3 linked regions of the Macaca fascicularis genome follow. The main gene of each other region encodes a partner of the protein of the gene in region 2 in a complex. Links are inferred from orthologs where the notes say so. Each region holds a gene or a part of one and is shown on either strand. Other genes may lie near its edges. The genes, in order: FRS2, NTRK2 and NTF4.

Region 1 (4,316 bases), on a different chromosome or scaffold from region 2:
ATGTCTGTGATTCAGGATTCCTCTCACTATCCCTTTAGGCCTTGAGTAAAAAGAGATGTCGGTGAGTCCTGCCAACCTACGCTGTTTTTTACTTCTTCACACCCTGAGGCACAAAAGGTTGCTTGAATTTGAGTGTTACAGAAATATTTGCAAACACTTCTGCGATCACTAAAATAAAATAAATAAGACAGCCCTGTAAATAAAGCCAAGAGCAATGGCATTGTTTGCATCTTAAATTTGTAGTAATGGGTTTTCACATTTTTTCATTTCCCCTGCCTTTCATAGTAGAAAAATTTAAAAATCTCGTCCCCCCCGCCGTATCAAGAGATGTTAGTACATTTGTTTTGCAGATAGTATGCATGTTAAGAGGCTTTTTTTTTTTTCTTTCCCTGCATCCCAGATACAGAATCTGCCTCAGTTATCTGGTGCCTTTCTCATTTTGTGGCTGAGGAATCCTCCCCTCCTCCTTTCCGTCCCCTTTCCCTGTCTGATATGTAACTCTGTGGGACCTCATGCTATCTCTGCACGGCGTTTCCCAAGCACCTGCATTTTTCCCGTTGTAAAAACCTCTACTCTTTCTTATTTCCTTAACTAATCTTTTCTATTGCCTATTGCTAATGAGGTATAAGAATCGTTGACTTTTATCCAGTGCCAGACACTGAAATGTTTATCATGCATTATCATTTTGGATTCCTACAATACAGAGATGATTTTGTAACTTGCCAGGGTGAAAAAATAAAAGCAAATAAAAGGAGACAAGCGAAAAGACTCCAGGTCCCCACCCCAACCCCTCCACCCTAGCTCTAGCCTCTGTTGAACTCGCCAGTGATGACAGAATATAGGAATATAGTTTGAGTCCTGTCTTAAATAATTTAAAAATCTTGTTATAGGTAGGTGAGATTTATACACACATGAATTAAAATCAAGCAGCCAACGTTTGTGATGTTGGGTTTGGTATCTTTGACCGTTTTTCTCCCCTGCAAGATGTAGATAACAGCACCAACCCCAAGGAGTTTGGGGATGATTAAATAAGTTAATGCACCTGAAGGGACTTAATAGTGCCTACCACGTAGTAAGCGTTCAATAAGTGTTAACTATTATCATTATTTTTTAAAGGAGGCAGATTGGAGCGTAGAATACACTGAAGGGAGTCGGGAGGCCGGGTGTATGCGCTGGATTCTTGCACGTAAATTCTCAGAGCCTCGGTTTCCTTATTTGTAAAATTAGGTGGCCGGAGTAAAACAACTCGAACAGCAGTTAAAGCAAAGGGTGCAGCAGCAGCCGGGGAACCGAGGAGGCACGGGGCGGAAAGGGTTAGCTAGAGCCCAAAGGCTGATTTCTGGGCGCCGGGCGAGAGAGTCCCCGCCCCGCCTGGAGGCCCTGGCAGCTCCGGGCTGAGAGCAGTTCCGGTGCCAAAACCCTTCCCTCCCCCGCTCCCCCGGAAGTGCTTTTCCAGGATTCAGGCCGGAGAGAGGCCTTGTAGGCACAGCGGCTGAGACTCGATCTGCTCCAAGTAGGGGCTCCAGCCCGGTCGGAGTCTGGGGGTTCGCGCCCGCCGACCCGCGCTCTGCTCCCTCTCAGCACCTGGGCCGACGGTGAGTGGCTAGGGAAACGGACTGGGACGGCCGCGGGCCCGCGTCAGGCTGGCGTTTTCGTGCCCCTGCTGCCCGCTTCGGGATCCGGGCTGAGGGCTCGGCTGCCGGCGTCCGGGGAAGGGGATTGTCGACCGCCGCGGAGTTCTCCGAGCCAGCGGGACGGGAAGAAGAGGGCTGTGGGTCCATGGGGTGGGCGGGGCGGAGCCAGTAAGGGGGTTCCCAGAGCTGTTGTTGCTGTTGGGACTCGGGAGTGGGGATGGGCTGGGCCTCCGTCCGTCCGACCCCCTCATGTGTGCTCCCCCAAACCTCGCCGCTCCCCAGTTTGGTATTCTGTGTCTGGCCTGGGGTAGTAGCTGGACCTGAGGCTCAATCTTGGGCTCAAGTTCCCGACGTTTCGTCTCCTCTGGGTCTGTCCCGGGCTCAGTAATTAACCCGGGTCCCCGGGGTGTCGTCTTTTCACTCCAGGGTGGGGCGCTGCCTCTAAATGCCAGGGATCTTTTGCAGGGCTTTTCGTACAGATTTGCTTCTGGGTTGTCCGGGATCGATTTGGACTGGGCTTGGAAGCGGTTCTGGATACGTAGGTCGCTGTGGCACCAGCATGCTCTGTATCATCTTTACTCACTTGAAAGCTCACTGAAGCTGTTATTGAAGTAAACTTTAAAAAAAAAAAAAAACTTGCTTAAGGAAAATCCGTAGTTTAGACACCCCCCCCCCCGCCTTTTTTTGCAGACATATTAAAAAAAATAAAGATGCTGTTCTCTTCTCTGCACTGTTAATTCTTTTGGCTATCTGATGTCACAGTTGTATGATGAGTTCATTCAGAGGCTATACGAATTGATTGCAAAGAGTTGGACAATTATTATATCCTTTCTCCCAAAGTTTGTTTACCTTCATATTTGGAACTGTCATATTTCTTAAAGAAAAATTGTTCTTGGATTTTCTTGAGAGATTCCTTACACTGTTAAAATTGTTGCTGCAATGCAGAATTTCACACAGGTGGGCAGAGATGTTTTGTTTGTTTAAACTTATTCCGTGAAGTGTTTACTTCGGATAAACTGAGGATTTCCTAGGGGAGAAAGTGATGTAGGTACGTTTAGTGAACAGAATTTAGGTAATAAACTTTACTGCTGAAAGGTTTGTAGGAAATAACGGGTTTTCCACAATAAATGGTGATTTAAGAACTTTTTATAAGGGAATGCAGTTACTGCAGATTATTGCTATTAGCAGATGGCCACTGTTTTTGCAGCGTAAAGTATACACAAATCACCTTCTTGAAACCAGTGACACTATCTGCACCTCTTATCTTGTGTGTAGATTAGGATTTATACTGTAATTTTTTGGGTACTTATGTCATTCTCTTTCCTCCCACCCCTGAAAGGGGAGGTGGTGTCATGAATCAGGAAAAATAGACTGAAGTGACAAGTTCAGTGAGCTTTCCTATGCAAAGGAAAATTTATTTCAAGGTTGTTGATTTTGAAGAGGCAAAGGGTAGATGATTTTTAAAGTCCTTGGAAAAAATTGTGGAGAGATTAGCTGCACAACTTTTCTTTTTCCTTTTCTTTTCTTTACCTTCCTTTTCTTTTTTCTTTTTCGAGACAGCCTCATTCTGCTGCCCAGGCTGCAGCGCAATGGCACCATCATAGCTCACTGCAGCCTCCAACTCCTGGACTCAAGCAATCCTTCTGTCTCAGACTCCTGAGTGGCTAGGGGCACCAACCACCACACCTGGCTAATTTTTTTTTTTTCAGTAGAGCCGAGGTTTCACTATGTTGCCAGGCTGGTCTTGAACTCCTGGGCTCAAGTGACCCTCCCATCTCGGCCTTCCAAAGTGCTGGGGTTACTATTGTGAGCCACCATGCCCAGCCTATTTGCACAACTTTTAAATTTAGATAGAAACTGTAGATTCAACATGTGAAGTACTTAATTATTTAGAGCATAATATTGGAATTGAGAGAATCTGGAAAAATAGTTAAGTTAGGTGTAGTTACAGATTTGCAGGTACGACAGTGTGTTTTGAAGGGAAATATTTCAAGAGATTTAAGAGCAGAGAAAGGTGGGGAAAATCAGATACTGATTGTATTTTTATATTATACAAGTCAATTCAACAGATACTGAGCATTTGCTGTGCATCAAGCTAGTTAGGCAATAAAGGAGCAAATAAAGGTACAGGCATAACAGGTGAGCTTCATGTTTTGGTAATAATTTCTGAAATCATGAAGAGTTGAGTTGTATTCTTTAGGCATACTAAAAATTTTTTTTAAATTGGGACTTAACTTTGGCGATGGGTGTTGAGTGCTTAATGAAAAGTGCTATACTAGGCATTTTAGGATATAAAGATTAAATTTTTGGTTTTTAGAAATTTGAAATCTAGAAGGAGATATGAGATTTGTGTAAACATTTACAACGTAAACATTTGTAAATACTTACGTGGGTGGTTTAAGGTAAAGTTTGGAGTAAATTACACAAAAGAAGAAAGGGTTCATTTTTAGCTTGAGTAATGGAAATTTGTGGAGATAGCTCAGAAGCTACTATTTATTCAGCATTTACTGAACAGACTCAATGCTAGTTGCTGTTTACAACATTTTCTTAGCTTCACAGCAATATGTAAGTAGCTTAATGATGAGGACAGTGAGGCTGAAATATGTTAAGTTACTTGCCTGGGCTATGTGGCTAGCAGTAACAGCCCCAATTTGAATCCAAATCTGTCTGGTGCCAAAACCT
Region 2 (2,950 bases):
GGAGCCACCATGAGTCCTGAGTTCTTTATGGTTTGCTCACGCAATTAAATGGCACCGGACGTGTGTAGATGTTTTCTAAACTATATGGTACATTCCAATTATGGTTTCAGAGAATGGCAAGGAGACTAGAGATGCTTTATTCTAGGGGTTAACAATCTTTGAAAATGTGTGTGCCAAAGTGCCCAGCCTTTTCTGGCACATAAACAAAAGGGTCATTTGCCTAGCTCTGCAAGGTGGCAGCAGCATCTTTGAATGGTCCAAAGCAGTCCTCTCCTTGCCACTGCCATGTGGGCTGCCCAGACCTGGTGGGATCATTCTACCCTCATACTGCAAGTCCTCCCAAGCATCTGGAAACATCAGCAGATTCCCTCTCCCAAAGTCCTAGGTACCCAGGGGTCACAGAGTTATGAATAGGGCAGATATTCACCAAGCCAGAAATGCGCTGAGATAGCTGTACCCATGTTTACCACCCACATCCTTTCTGGTTGGTCAGTGTCTGTGCAGTTTGAGTATCGACCCTGAGGGTGACTGTTGCCACCACCTTCAGACATGAGGTAAGACCATAAGAGAAGTCTCTGTCTATTAAACACTGATGACCTGTCACTGCTGAAGGAAGAGAGAGGAAATCTAACACCAATGAAAACCAACTTAGCCTTTATGAGCTTTATGTTTATTAAAAGCTGAATAGTAAAGATGGTCACCTGAGCCAGTAGTTTTTGTCCCTATTTGTCAAATTTGGATGCATCATACAGAGAAGAATGAAATAAAATACCCTCCTCCTTTTGTACTCTTGTGCTTTCTTTGGTGCTAAGAACATCACTGGGAATCACCAAGCGTGTTAGACATCTCTGACACTTCAGCCTCTTAGGTTCTGGGGTAGGGGAATATTTTTCAGGTACTGTTAGTTTATTTTCTTCCTTTAATAAATACTAACTGGATATTGAGGATTAGAATTGGGCAGAAACTCTATGCACCATTACTCTATAAACTCAGGACCCAGAGTTGTTACAGAGGTCCAACTTTTTGCTGTAGGATAAGCCCACCTGCTCTCAGGTGTCAAGCACACTGTGTAGCCTGGTGGTGCTGGGGGGTTACCAGGATGAAAAGCGGAACTTACCAGCCACAGGACTACTGTGCAGAAATCTGTTCATGGGTTTGAAATCAGGCATCCCTGACAAACCCGGAAATGAGCTTCTTAACTTTCCTCCACGAAGTAGAAAGTCATATACAATTTTACTTTGTCAAAGAAAGTTTTCTTTGCCTGTACTAATGCAATTGCTATCTGATGCCCCAGTCTTGGTGTTTTCATTAAAGTGGGCATTTAAAAAAATGTATTTATCTATTGTGGTAAATAATCTAAGGAGCAGTGCCCTGTAATAGAGGAAAGTCCTGAGCTTAGAATCCAAAGACCTGAGTTTTTGTGTCTGTAAGCAATCTGAATCTCATTGCCTTATCTGTAGAAGGAGAATAATAATGCCTGACCTGCCTATCGCTGAGTGATGATGGAGGGGTTTGAGTCAGCATCATGTACACATAAGACCTGAAGGCAGAAGGAGGCTCTAGCCTTGCCAAGGAAGTAGAGTCACTGGTTGGTCATTTTGGATGCAGAGCCCCTTTTCGTTCTCCTGGTCAAAGTGATCTTGTTAATTAGAAGATTGAGTCATCCTCCTAGCAGAAAGTGCATGTATGTGTGTGTAGTTTTATTTATCCAAGGTGATCATCTACCTAATCATCATCCCTGCTCCTATCTGGTTTTGAGAGAAAGAATTGCAAATAATATATTTTTAAATGATTTGGATCACTCTTTGCCCTCTGTCTCTGTTGCTTGAGACTATGAAGAAATCATATATCCCTTATGTGTTTATAAACAATTAAAACTATAAAGTGCAAATAAGGAAAGCAAGCAGTGTCCCCCAGCATCTCCCTTCCACACCTGGTTTTGGAGTGACTGATGCCTCCCTGTTGATCCCTTTCTCTCCAGGTCGGTGGCCACACGATGCTGCCCATTCGTTGGATGCCTCCAGAGAGCATCATGTACAGGAAATTCACGACAGAAAGTGACGTCTGGAGCCTGGGGGTCGTGTTGTGGGAGATCTTCACCTACGGCAAACAGCCCTGGTACCAGCTGTCAAACAACGAGGTGTGCAATGGGTCTGGCCAAGACCCTCCAAAGGGCTGAGATCCCAGAGGCTTCCATCAGCTGGGGCCTTGTTTTGGGTTGGAAGACCATGTCAGGACGTTATCTTATGGGGTTTTGTTGGCGGCAGCACTTCCCATGTAGCCTGCTATGTTTCTAAATTTCATGGTCAAAGTATAGTCACTCTGAGAAAGCAAAGCACAGCACTCGCTGATATGTCCTTGCCCCTCTGGTGGTGGGACTGAGGAGTCACTTTATGCAGCTCATCTGATAAATTAATAGCAGATGTAGCATTCCAGAACCCATACAGTCCAGCAAGTTCTTTAGTATTGTTCCAACGAAGTTTCAAGGTCCTTTCCCTTTTGAATATTTCACCAGAACATTAACTTCTAGTGAAAAACTCAAACGTTTTGTTTTTTCTATTCTTACTCTTGCAAATATGTTTATATTTGAGGCACAACTTCTTGGTCAGGCACCCCACATCTTTTCCAGATCCATGTCTGTCTTTTTAATCCAGTTCCTTTATCCAATAGCCTGCGAGGTTTCCTGTCAGTCAGTGCCTTAACACACAAGTGACTCGTGTTCCATCTCAGACCAATAAAAACCACAACATGCGGGAGCTCCAGTGTGAGGTTTGGGAGCATTCCATATAAATTACTTTTCCACCAGTTTTGTGAAATCAGAGTGGCTTGGAAAAATGGATATAAGCCAATCAAATTAAACACAACATAAACTAACCTATAATAATTGTTCTCTTCCTTCTGAGAAAATGAAACCAAGAGTGGGCTTCTTTTGTAAAAGCCCCTCTTCTGC
Region 3 (4,150 bases), on a different chromosome or scaffold from region 2:
CCTCCTGCTATGGGGCAGGATGTATTGGGTGTTTAGGAACAGGGAAATGTGGAGAAGCCAGAGAGGTGACCCGAACACACACCCAAAGCCTGGGAAGTGGCCCTTCCCCCCACCAATAAATAACTGTGAGGAGCAGGAAACACCCTAACCGGGGACACCCTCCTGCCACCTTGCCATGCTATATTTAGGCTGAGGGGGTGTGGGATGACCCCTGAGGCAGGTGTCAATTTTCCTTCTGAAAATAGCACAGGCAGAGGGAGGCAGAGTCTCAGGGTGGAGGTGTGGTGGGGTGAGGAGCCCGGCTGCCCTCATGACTGTCCTGAGACGCTCTAGCTCCGATCCCATCCCTGTCTTTCTGAGGGTCTCTCAGGGGCTCTGTCCCCTTCTCCGGAGGGTCTGCCCTCAGTCTCTCTGGGCCTCTGTCTTCTCTCTGGGCTTCTGCCCTCCCCCACTCTCTCTAGTCTTGATCCCCCTCTTTCTTTTGGTCTCTCCCCACTTTTCCATGCCTTCATCTGTCACCGCGCACCATTTCTGGAAGGAGCTGATTGTTCTTAAGACACATCTGTCTATCTCTGGGTCCTATAATACCTTGCATGTCTCTTATCTGAGCTCAGGACAAGACCCTCTCCCCGGTCCCCATCCAGGAAATTCCAGGGGAGAGGAGTATGCGGGAGCCCCCACATCCACTGTCTCCCCGGGCCTGGGGCCTTATCACTGCCCAAGCCCAGCTGGTTAATGTCTGGCGTGGAGCTCCTGGGAAGTGGGGAGGAGAGCAGAGAGTGGGAATCTGCCCCGGGATTGACACGCAATTGGCAAAAGACGGCAAAGGAATCTCAGGCCCAGACTCCTGGGGCTAATGGAGGAGGAGGCTGGGGGCTGGACTCCTGAGTCTGAGACGGGGCGGGGTTGGGAGGTGGTGGGGGGAACTGTGGGCTTAGTACTCAGGCGCCTGGGGCTCGGGGGAGAAGTGGCTGGGGTCGCAAGTCCCGGGTCTGAGGGAGGAGGGGCTGGATGCCTGGACTCCTGGGTCTGAGGGAGGAGGGGCTGGGGACCTGGACTACTAGGTCTAAAGGAGGAGGCAGCTGGAGACTGGGACTCCTGTGACCAATGCGGCCGGGTTGAACGAGCCAGGCCTGGCTTCCAAGGTCCCGGCACGCCTGTGCAAGGCAGGATCCCCCGGCCCCTCCTCTGCCGTCCGGCGCCGCCCCGCCCCCGCCCCCGACCCGGGCCCTGCCGAGAGTGAGCAGGGAGCAGCCGGCGGGCCAGCGAGCGTCCCTGCAGCCAGCGAGCAGGAGGAGGAGCTGCTGCTGGGGCGAGGGCAGCTGGGGGAGCCGAAGAGGGCGCCCCAGGTAAGAGCTCCGCGCCTCCTCCCCCGGGATTCCGGCGTCCTGGTCGCCCTGCCCTCGGGTGGGGAGGGACGGGGGCGGGGCCGACGGGGGCGGGGCTTGGCTGAGGAAACTGAGGCAGGAGGGAAGTGTCCCAGATACGCAGCCGGTTTCCCCTGAGGGGTCTCAGGAGTCCAGACCCCCCACCCAAATCTGGAGGATGAGGAACCCGGAGTCTGCATTTCTTAGTACCCGAGAAGGAGGAGCCTGAATTCCAGAACTCCTGGGTCTGAGAGAGGAGGGCGCTGGGAGCCTGGATTCCTGGGTCTGAGGGAGAAGGGCGCTGGGGGCATGGACTCCTGGGTCTGAGGGAGGAGGGCGCTGGGGGCATGGACTCCTGGGTCTGAGGGAGGAGGGCGCTGGGGGCATGGACTCCTGGGTCTGAGGGAGGAGGGCGCTGGGGGCCTGGACTCCTAGGTCTGAGGGAGAAGGGTGCTGGGGGCATGGACTCCTGGGTCTGAGGGAGGAGGGCGCTGGGGGCCTGGATTCCTAGGTCTGAGGGAGGAGGGCGCTGGGGGCATGGACTCCTGGGTCTGAGGGAGGAGGGCGCTGGGGGCCTGGACTCCTAGGTCTGAGGGAGAAGGGTGCTGGGGGCATGGACTCCTGGGTCTGAAGGAGGAGGGCGCTGGGGGCCTGGATTCTTCGGTCTGAGGGAGAAGGGTGCTGGGGGCATGGACTCCTGGGTCTGAGGGAGGAGGGCGCTGGGGGCCTGGATTCTTCGGTCTGAGGGAGAAGGGTGCTGGGGGCATGGACTCCTGGGTCTGAGGGAGGAGGGTGCTGGGGGCATGGACTCCTGGGTCTGAGGGAGGAGGGCGCTGGGGGCCTGGATTCCTGGGTCTGAGGGAGAAGGGTGCTGGGGGCATGGACTCCTGGGTCTGAGGGAGAAGGGTGCTGGGGGCATGGACTCCTGGGTCTGAAGGAGGAGGGCGCTGGGGGCCTGGACTCCTAGGTCTGAGGGAGAAGGGTGCTGGGGGCCTGGACTCCTAGGTCTGAGGGAGAAGGGTGCTGGGGGCCTGGTCCTGGACTCCTCCTGGGTCTGAGGGAGGAGGGGCTGGGGGCCTGGATTCCTCCTGGGTCTGAGGGAGGAGGGCGCTGGGGATCTGAACTCCTGGGTCTGAAGGTGGAGGCCCTGGGGTGTGAAGGAGAAGGCAGTCCTGGTTGGGTCAGCCTGGGCTCCTTTCACTCTCCACCCTTCCCCTTTCCTGTACCGAGGAGCCAGGGCAGGCAGTCACTCCAGGTATGTGCAGAAGTCTTGGGCGGGCCCTGGCCTGTCCTGTGAGGAGGGAACATTCCAGGAAGCAGCTTGGGGAACCAGGGCTTCTTGAGTGTGGGCCCTCAGGGACCCAGGTGTCCAGGTCAGTTCCGCCCCCTCTGGGAGATGAATGGGCCGAGGGGGATGTCATCTCTTCCAGCCTGCTTCATCCACTGCCTCTCCCTTCCCCTCTTCTCCCCTCCCCTCCCTCCATCTGCTTCCCATCCCAGCCAGGAGCCATCACCTGGGTAGAAAAGGGGCCTCTGGAAAGGGGGCGGGGCCTTGACTCTTGGGTACCCTGAACTTCAAGAGGAACTCTGGGGAGGGGGTGTTCAGGGATTTGACCCCTCCCCCACTTGCCTCTATAACCTGTCTATTCCTTTCTTCCCCTAGGTGGTTGCCCCCTCCCTCTCCTGAGATGTCAGGAAGGAGGGGGCCACCTGTGTCCTCCACAGGGGCCCCCCGAAGCCTGGGGACTCCCAGCCCCAGAGCTCCGAGGTGGAGGAGGTGCTGACAGGTCTGGTAACCACTGACTGTTTCCCAGTCTTCTCCACACCACCCTTTCCCAGAACCACAGGCTTCCAGAATGTTGTAGAGAAACTGCAACATCCAAGCCTCCACCAGCCTCTCCCAGCGCCAGGTCAATTTCACACACGGGAAAACTGAAGCCTGTCTCAGAGGGGCAGCGTTTTCCCTCCTTAGTGGCAGTTTTGAGGTGCAATGGGGTCTCCCTAGGATTCCAGGTTGTGGCCTTTCTCCAAATTGTAGAATGTGGCCAGGCATGGTGGCTTGAGTCTGTAGTCCCGGCTACTCAGGAGCCACAGCAGGAGGATTGCTTGAGCCCAGGAGTTCAAGTGCAGCGGGGAAATATAGCGAGACCTGGTCTTAAAACAATTTGTGGCCGGGGTGCGGTGGCTCACGCCTGTAATCCCAGCATTTTGGGAGGCCGAGGCGGGAGGATCACGAGATCAGGAGATCGAGACCATCTTGGCTAACATGGTGAAACCCCATCTCTACTAAAAAAAATACACAAAAAATTAGCCGGGCGTGGTGGCGGGCATCTGTAGTCCCAGCTACTCGGAAGGCTGAGGCAGGAGAATGGCGTGAACCCGGGAGGCGGAGCTTGCAGTGAGCCAAGATCGCGCCACTGCACTCCAGCCTGGGTGACAGAGCGAGACTCCGTCTCAAAAAAAAAAAAAAAAAAAAAAACAATTTGTTTGGGACCAGGTGCCATGGCTCATGCCTGTAATCCCAGCACTTGGGGAGGCCAGAGTAGGAGTATCACTTGAGGTTGGGAGTTCAAGACCACTCTGACCAACATGGCGAAACCCCATCTCTACTAAAAATACAAAAATTAGCTGAAAAACTGTGGCAGGCACTTTTAATCCCACCTACTCAAAAGGCTGAGGCAGGAGGAGAATCCCTTGAATCCAGGAGGCAGACATTACTGTAAGCCATGATTGAGCCACTGCACTCCAGCCCGGCCAACAGAGGGAGACCCTGTCTAAAAACA

The links.
Region 1: the proteins of NTRK2 (region 2) and FRS2 are in contact, whole or in part, in an NMR structure (PDB 2MFQ), measured with the Homo sapiens proteins. The link is inferred for Macaca fascicularis from reciprocal best matches to the Homo sapiens genes NTRK2 and FRS2. Residues at the interface, in NP_001018074.1 of Homo sapiens: Pro498, Asp499, Val501, Ile503, Gly504, Met505, Thr506, Lys507, Ile508, Pro509, Val510, Ile511, Glu512, Asn513, Pro514, Gln515, Tyr516, Gly518, Ile519; in NP_001036020.1 of Homo sapiens: Val26, Asp27, Asp28, Asp29, Gly30, Tyr59, Leu60, Cys61, Leu62, Arg63, Arg64, Tyr65, Gly66, Tyr67, Asp68, Ser69, Asn70, Leu71, Phe72, Ser73, Gly77, Arg78, Ile86, Ala88, Lys90, Phe98, Gln102, Met105, Gln106, Ser109.
Region 3: the proteins of NTRK2 (region 2) and NTF4 are in contact, whole or in part, in a crystal structure (PDB 1HCF), measured with the Homo sapiens proteins. The link is inferred for Macaca fascicularis from reciprocal best matches to the Homo sapiens genes NTRK2 and NTF4. Residues at the interface, in NP_001018074.1 of Homo sapiens: Phe291, Glu293, Thr296, Ser297, Asp298, His299, Cys302, Pro304, Thr306, His335, Val336, His343, Gly344, Cys345, Asn350, Thr352, His353, Met379, Gly380, Trp381, Pro382, Gly383; in NP_001382418.1 of Homo sapiens: Gly81, Val82, Ser83, Glu84, Thr85, Ala86, Ser89, Arg90, Arg91, Gly92, Glu93, Leu94, Ala95, Asp98, Ala99, Ser101, Gly102, Trp103, Thr105, Tyr135, Phe137.

Annotation. Positions count from the first base shown.
Region 1 is NC_088385.1:76,244,824-76,249,139, forward strand, and holds the start of FRS2 (fibroblast growth factor receptor substrate 2), read left to right. Parts: upstream 1-1,454; 5' UTR 1,455-1,595; intron 1,596-4,316. UniProt on the Homo sapiens protein: Adapter protein that links activated FGR and NGF receptors to downstream signaling pathways.
Region 2 is NC_088389.1:115,652,904-115,655,853, forward strand, and holds part of NTRK2 (BDNF/NT-3 growth factors receptor), read left to right. Parts: intron 1-1,981; coding exon 1,982-2,140; intron 2,141-2,950. UniProt on the Homo sapiens protein: Receptor tyrosine kinase involved in the development and the maturation of the central and the peripheral nervous systems through regulation of neuron survival, proliferation, migration, differentiation, and synapse formation and plasticity.
Region 3 is NC_088393.1:57,038,675-57,042,824, reverse strand, and holds the start of NTF4 (neurotrophin-4), read left to right. Parts: upstream 1-1,229; 5' UTR 1,230-1,349; intron 1,350-2,673; exon of another isoform or gene 2,674-2,740; intron 2,741-3,025; exon of another isoform or gene 3,026-3,030; 5' UTR 3,031-3,154; exon of another isoform or gene 3,155-3,277; intron 3,278-4,150. UniProt on the Homo sapiens protein: Target-derived survival factor for peripheral sensory sympathetic neurons. May promote ameloblast differentiation and subsequent reduction in proliferation of ameloblasts.